Linked DNA regions of Notamacropus eugenii. The protein of the gene in region 2 interacts with the protein of the main gene of each other region in a biochemical or structural test. Links are inferred from orthologs where the notes say so. Each region holds a gene or a part of one and is shown on either strand. Other genes may lie near its edges.

Region 1 (3,747 bases), on a different chromosome or scaffold from region 2:
TGAATTAAAACAACTACAACAACAAATCCTTTGCCAAAATCTAGGTGAACTGTAGCCATAGCATTCTCTTGATCTTGTAACTTGTCAAAAAGAACGTAGCTTAGGCTGGTAGGACCTGTTCTGGATGCCACGCCTATTACAACTCCTCCATACCTTTCAGGTATCACTGACTGTTACATTCATTAACAAGTTTAAAAAGATGATTTAGCCTTTCTGGGCCACAGTTTCCTCAACTGTAAAATGACCCTCTTGGATTAGATATCCTCCTTAACCCTTTCAGCTCTCTGTTCCTATAAATCACCTTTCGGGGGCCTCAGTTTCTTCCCTTGTAATGAACACAGTATATAGTGATTTGTACGATTTACAAACACTACCTCATTCTATCTTCATAATCCTGAAAGGCAGGTGCTATTTTCATCTCCATTTTACAAATGAGTAATCCCAGGCAGACAAAGATTTCGAGACTCGCCCAGTCACTCGGTTATTAAGCGTCAGAAGCCGGTTTTGAATGCAGCGTTCATTACACCGTCCTATCTAACACTATATAAACTGTAATAATTATTTTTAATTTGGCATTGGTAAATTAGAGCTTTCGCTTTAATGCTGTGGATTATTTGACTGCATGATCCCAGTTAGCACCTCCAAATACTCGTGTTTTCAGCCGGCGTAGTCCTCGCTAAACTAGGATCCTCCCACCCTGGCTCGGAGCAAACAGGTCCAGCGCACAAATGCTGAGAGAGGGCTGACGTCACGCCCATCTTCCCTCCTTCCCCCCCCTTCCTTTTTTCTCCATCCCGAAAGCCCTTGAGGCAAAGCTAATGGGCCGGCCATCCCAGAGCGAAGCCGATTGGCCAGCTCCTCGCACCACGTGTCACGCCAACCGCTAGCGGATTGGCTGCCGGGTGCCGGAAGGAAGGAGTGGAGAGTTTGACGGGAGCGGAGGGGAGCGGCGAAGGGGAGGGGGGCGGGGCGTTCTCGTGGGCTGTGTAGAAGCTCTGGGTTGTGGTCTGATCCTGTTGCCCGCTTCCATCCCATCCATCCATCTATTTGTCCGTCCCCGGGTGACACGGCGCCCTCCGGCTCGGCAGATCAGCAGCTCGTGGGTTAAGAGAGGGAACCGCCGGCTGGAAGGGCGGCGGGGAATGGAAGCCGAGGACCTGAGCAGGTACGTGTCGGGGCTTGGGCGAGGGGAGGTCTGCTGCCCCCCAGCCTACAGCCCGTCCTCCCTTCACTGTCCCCCCCCTCCACCTCCCCCAGTGGGCGCATGCGCAGGGCCCGGTCTTTAAATGCCCCGCATCCTGGTACAAAGGCGGAGGCGGCGCGCGTGCGCAGACACTTGGCCCTTCCCCCATGGTCCCCTCCCCCACAACCCCCCCAGCCCCGTTCTTTTTTTTTCTTTCGCCCTTTGACCAGCTTTTACTAAAGCACCTACTAGGTGTTAGCCTCCGCGTTAGGCGCGGGAGGATGCGGAGACGGAAGCCTTTCTCCTCCCCCTCTGCAGGTCCCCGGCCCGTGCCTCTAATCATTGCATGTTGTCTCCCCATTAGACTCCGAGCTCTTTGAGGGCAGGGAGGACTTTTGCGTTTCTTTGTGTCTCCAGCTCTTAGCGCAGTGCCCGGTACGTAGTTTTGTTTTTTTAATTAAATTTAAGCTTCCAAATTAAATTAAGCGTTTAAATTTAACTAAGTCTTAAAATGCTTACATTTTAATTGGAGGGAGCTCGGTGGCTCAGTGGGCCTGAGTCAGGAAGACAGATGCCAGCTGTGTGACCCTGGGCAAGTCAGCACCCTCTGTCTTCATAGGGCGGAGAAGGAAATGGCCAAGGAAATACCATGGACAGCGTGGCCGCAGGGTCCCCGGGAGCCCGCGAGCCAAAGCAAGAGGAGCTTTTAAACGGAAGTTTGTAAAATAGCAGCCTTCACCAAGTTGATTTCTTTCACACGGGGATGGTGACAGCACCCACTTTACTGGGTGTTGTAAAAACCCAGTGAGAGATCAAAGGATGGTTGTTCCAAAGGGCTTGGTGCTGCTTTAAGCTGCCGTTGTTTAAGGCCTCAATAGCTGAACTTTTGGAGCACCTTGAGTGAGAAGCGCTCTGCCAACTTTAAAGCCCAGCACTGACAGCTTTCACTGGTAGGGATAGAAGGGAGCTGTGATGTTATTGTGAGGGGGTTAGCCCTCAGCCTTCTCCAGAGGCTCCTTAGCAGCAATTCAAGAGGCCCCTGCAGGTTTCAGTGACTCCTCCTGGGGCAGGCCACCATCACGGTCTTGAGACTGAACTTAAACTCAACTCTGACTTGAAGGCAGAGCCTTTTCTCCTGTCAGAATTGTTGTGTTGGTGGCGGTAGGTGGTGTGTATGAGCAAATACGGGACAGCCCTAGTCTTTGTTGTTGTCTTTTGAGGCCCTTCCACCTCCTTGTGACCGTGTTTGGGGTTTTCCTAGAAAAGATACTGGAGTAGTGTGCCATTTCCTTCTCCAGCGCATTTCACAGATGAGGAAACTGAGGCAACAGGGTGAAGTGACTTGCTCAAGTCACACAGGTAGGAAGTGTTTGAGGCTGGATTTGAACTCAGGTCTTCCTGATTCCAGGCCCACATCCCCACCTAGCTGCCCCAACCCTGACCTAGATGCCTACAAAGCAATTGGGAGGGGTTATTAGGTGGGAGGGAGAGGTGCTAACCCCCTGTACTTTTGGTGTATTCTCGGATCCACTTGACGCTGGCCTCCTTTCAGTTTCCTGACGCTGTCTCTGGGCTCCTGGCATTTTCCCAGCTGTCCCCCTCATCTCTGCCTCCTGGCTTTTCTAGCTCCTGAAAATCCCAACCCAGAATCTTCACCTTCTGTAGGAAGCCATTCCCAAGCTCTCTTAATTCTAGTGCCTGTCCTCTGTAGATTATTAGCTGTTTATCCTTTTTATAGCTTGTGGATGCAGTCTTTAACTTCTTCTCTCCCCCATGAAATTATGAGCTCTAGCACACATAACGGGCGCTTAATAAATACTTACTGACTGATCAGGAGAGGGTTCAGCACTGGGTGTCCTGAAAGCTTATAATAGAGAAAATAGCATTAGGACTTGGGGGACACCACAAGTAGGAAATGGCCCTTAAACTGTGTCTTGAAGGGAAGGAGGACACTCCAGGCATGGGGCACAGCCTCTGCAAAGGCCCGGTGAGGAGAGTTGGCATGTTGGATCCAGGCCGTACTGTAGAGTGGGGAAGGGAGTGGTTTTTAGTTTTGAAGTGTCAGGCAAAGCAGTTTAAGCTAGTGTGGGAGGGGGTCAGTCTTCCTTCTGCTTTATGAATAGCTGCGGATCATTGCTTTCTGCAGTGTTGTTCCAGACAGGCAACGTGAAGGATATCAAAAGAGAAATCCAGTTCTGGAGCCACAAGGGACCTCATCTAGTCCAGTCCTCTCATTCTGTACTAGAGGAAACTAAGTCTCAGATACTTTGACTGACTTGCTTTGGTTTAATCCAGCACTGTTTCCCTTGACCCAGGCTGAAACAGCAAGATGAGTGTAGAAGGCAATAGTGAGGCGGGAAGCCCATTAAGAGTGAGGTGGTCTGAGTTCAAATCCGAGTTCTACTCTTTAATAGCAGTTTGCCCTTGACAAGGCACTTCTCCCTGACTGATCCATCATACCTGCAAACTGGGGATAATATACTTGCATTACTATGTTGTGAGGAAATGCTTGGCATACCTTAAAGCAACAGAAGTTTGAGTGTCTGCAGCAGACCCAGAAGTTC
Region 2 (3,747 bases):
ATTGTTCCTAGAGTTGGGCATAAAAAGAAAGAAAAATTGACAAAAGTGAAAACCTTTTCCTAAGGAACTTTGCTGGGATTAGCAGTATGTAGCGGGAAATAGTTGGGGTGTCTATTTCTGAAAAACTCTTTATGGCAGCTGTATAACTAGTTTATGTCCCTTTATATAACAAAAGTCTAAAACAAACTAAAGTACTACTACTACTACCAAAGCAAAAATCTGCTATTAAGGTTACTCAGTTTGAGAGCACAAATTTCTAAAGTTGAGGTCCTTTGTTTTCTACTTAAAGAATTCATATTCATATGCCAAAATTAAAAGGAAAAGGGGTAAAGATTCTATCTTAAGAAAGTTCATCAAACAATTTCAAAGTCACCTACACTGTGCTTTGCTGAAAAGAAATGATTAAATTATGGTTTTCATATTTCTTAGGAAAAAACACAAAAAAAATTAAGATTTAGGATCAAAAATAAACTCCAAGTTAATCAACTAAAAATTTGTTAAATTTTTACTAGTGCCATTTCTCCCATTGGTTTATGTTTTTCATTTAACCGTTCAAGAACCTGTACAAAAGAGTATTTGTCATTTTTCAATACTAGTAATAGCAAATGTTACATGCCATTAAAAAAAACTGGCTGGAAGATGGGACACTATTTAAAAACAAAGCCAAGCTAAAGTTTCTGTTGCAAAGTATGCAGTTGTTTTCTTGTGTTACGTCAGATACAAGTGTTTTCACTGTTTCATTTCAGAGTGCACATCTACAGGCATTGCAGCAGCAACATAAGTCAATTTAGATTCATTCATTATAAAGTGATTTTCAGATGTTACCACCAGAGATGAAAAGGTTTCATTTGAGAAAGAATGTCCTTAAACTAGTAACTACAAGACGAATTTTTACAGTACAAAGAAAGATATTCAAAAAGAGGAAATATGAAGAGTTCTCAAAGCTGTAATAGGGAATAAGGTAATGAGCATTTAAAAAAAAACACAAAAATTAGTGACATGAAAAAAAAGTCTGCAGATGTTATTATCTAAAGAAGCCTTCAAAGAAGTTGTCCTAATGAATATAAGCATGGTTTTACAATAAGAGATATTCTGAATCACAATGAATTTTTCTATCAAATTCTAAGAATTTTTAAGTTTTAAAAGCAGATGACCACTTTGTTTTTAAAATAACCTAAATTAAGTTTAGTCAAAGGAGGAGCTTAATTTTTAATGGGACACTTGGCTTACATCCATTTAAAACTATCCCTGTTAGAAATATAAAATTAAATACATAGTAACTTTTATGAAATATTACTATTAAAGTTTCAGGTTTAGGAGAGTGGAAAGATTTGAGGGGATAGAGTTTCCAAAGTAACTTAATATTATATCCAGAAACAAGCTTGAATTTTGAAAGATTAAGTTATCATTATAGATTGCACCACATAAAAAGTTTCTGGATTTCAATACTTAAAAGTGTTATCACTATCAGTTAAAAACTATGATTGATGTTGTCGCTGTCTTGGAGATTCAGAAAATATTTCTAGTCACCAATCTTTCAGCCTGGATGTTTCTTTCCCTTACCAAGATGCAGTCCTGACACACACACACACACACACACACACGTTTCAACACTCCGCAGCAGATACACTCATCTGATATCACTACACAAAACAAACACACGGCACCTTACTTTTTTTTTTTCCTCCTTGGAAAAGTCATTTAGCATCGAGAGACTCGTGCAAGGTTGCACCCCAGCCTAGCAAATCAATCTGAATCGGAGTATCTTTTTCCACTGCCTTCCAATCGCACTTAACTCCCTTCCTTCAAACTTGGAAGAATTTATGTGATCAAGGTAAGGGGAGACGGAGGGTGAGGGAAGGTTTAGTGGGGAGATGGGAACAATTTTACGTGGAATCCCTTTGCAATGCCTAACTAGATAAAAAGAGGATCACTTCTCTTCGGAACCCACCACCTCGGCCATCGCTAACATCCCATTCATCTAGCTACGATCCCAAAGCCTTTCCAGGAAGAAAGCCCCCTCCCCCGTTCATCTGTGATCTGAAATGTCTACTCACCTTTGGAGTGGAAAGTGACAGGTAATTCAAAACAGGGTCCGCGGACACTAAGCCTACTAACCCTCACTGCGGGCTGGGCCTTCTCCCAGTTCCCCTGAAAGCTACGTTACATCTCGATCCTCTGAGGCTCCCAGGACACTTGGCTTCGATCAGATTCACTTCGGTCCCCTTCCCCGGCACTCCAACCCTTTATGTTTTCAACCATCTTCCTGCCCTCCCACCCCCAAAAGGCCCCCGGTCCTCACCTGTATTGTCACTGGCTGAGAACCCAGGCGAGTTGAGTTTGGCTCGTTTGGGGTTGGGCGGTCCGTCCAGCAAGTTCTCAGCCATTTTAGCCGGCTCTCGAAAACAGCCCCGCGGGTGGGGGTAGGAGCTGCGAAGGGTCCGGGGCAATCAGGAGACAATCCGGAGCGGGGGGTTGGGGAGGGTTCGGAGAGCTGCCCCGGCCGGGCCGGCACCGAGAGGGAGCGGGAGGGGGGGGGCTGTCCGAGCGTGTGTGAGTGAGTGTGAGATGGGGGGCCGGAGGGGGGGAGGGAGGCCAGTGAGGTGGGGGGCCGGCGGAGAAATCACAGCCACAGCAACAGCGCCCCGCAGCGCTCACCGCCCGCCCCCGGCCGCGGCCGCTGCCGCCGCTGCTGCTGCTGCTACCGGCCGCGGCTCCCTCATCCCCTCCCCGCCGCGGCGGCGGCGGCCCGGGACTCCCCCCCGCCCTCCCGAGCGCGACACTCCAAGGAGGGGGGGGCCGAGGCGGCCCAGCTGCCCCCCCGGGGCCCAGCTGGCAGCGACGGTGCCCGGCCGGGGCGGCTCAGTCAGTCCCGGGGAACATGGTGCCTCCCGCCCGCCTGCCTCCTCCTCCTCCTCCTCCTCCTCCTCTTCGTCCTCCTCCCTCCCCCCCTTCTCGCCCCACTTAATTAATTAATTCTCTCCCCGCCCGGTGGGAGGGGGGCTTCGGGGTTCGCTCCCCTACTCGGTTTGAGGAGCCGGAGCCGCCGCCGCCGCCGCCTTGAGGAAAAACAATGCGCGAAGCGGAGCCTCCGCCGCCGCCGCCGCCGCCGCCGCTGCTGCCCCCCCCACCCCCGTTCCGCCGCCGCCGCCGCCGCCGCGGCTCCGGGAAGCCGAGCCGAGAGCCGTGCGGGGCCGCCGGAGCTGGCGCCGAGGGCCGGGCGGAGCGGGCCGGGCGGGCGGAGTGGGGTGCGCGGGCGGTTGTGGGGCCCGGAACCGGCGGGGCCGAGTGGATCGCGCTCGAAGCCCCGATCGGGTCCGCGACAAGATGGCGGCTGTTGATTCCTCAATTAAAAAAAAAAAGAAAGTTTTTTTTCTTCTCTTTTCCAGAGCCTGAACGGGAGGGGGAGGGGGCGGGGCACGCTTATGCGTCACCACCACCGCCACCCCCCCCGCAGCGTCACCACGCACGGCCCCCGCCCCGCCCCCCTCCACCTGCACCCGGGAGCGGCCGGAAAGATACGAACGCGCCCAGGCGGAAAGGGCCGAGCGACCGGGCTGGAGTGCGTAGCGCTGCCGTGTTGTGGCGGACAGCGCCGCCCGTGGGCCGAAGGAGGGACGTGAAGGGCCGTGGGCGTTTGCGAGATCGCTTTTCCTCCGCTTTCGCTGTAGGTCCCTAAGTGGGACCCCAGGGGGGCGGCGGGCAGCCCTGGGCCGGTCTATGAAAGTGTTCATGCTCGCGCTGCGT

The links.
Region 1: the proteins of CREBBP (region 2) and TDG form a complex in vitro, tested with the Homo sapiens proteins (2 studies listed by BioGRID, with this or other methods). The link is inferred for Notamacropus eugenii from reciprocal best matches to the Homo sapiens genes CREBBP and TDG.

What each region holds. Positions count from the first base shown.
Region 1 is NC_092874.1:286,697,260-286,701,006, forward strand, and holds the start of TDG (G/T mismatch-specific thymine DNA glycosylase), read left to right. Parts: upstream 1-911; 5' UTR 912-1,142; coding exon 1,143-1,165; intron 1,166-1,547; exon of another isoform or gene 1,548-1,618; intron 1,619-3,747. UniProt on the Homo sapiens protein: DNA glycosylase that plays a key role in active DNA demethylation: specifically recognizes and binds 5-formylcytosine (5fC) and 5-carboxylcytosine (5caC) in the context of CpG sites and mediates their excision through base-excision repair (BER) to install an unmethylated cytosine.
Region 2 is NC_092872.1:58,235,948-58,239,694, forward strand, and holds the start of CREBBP (CREB-binding protein), read right to left. Parts: upstream 2,503-3,747; 5' UTR 2,388-2,502; coding exon 2,303-2,387; intron 1-2,302. UniProt on the Homo sapiens protein: Acetylates histones, giving a specific tag for transcriptional activation. Mediates acetylation of histone H3 at 'Lys-18' and 'Lys-27' (H3K18ac and H3K27ac, respectively).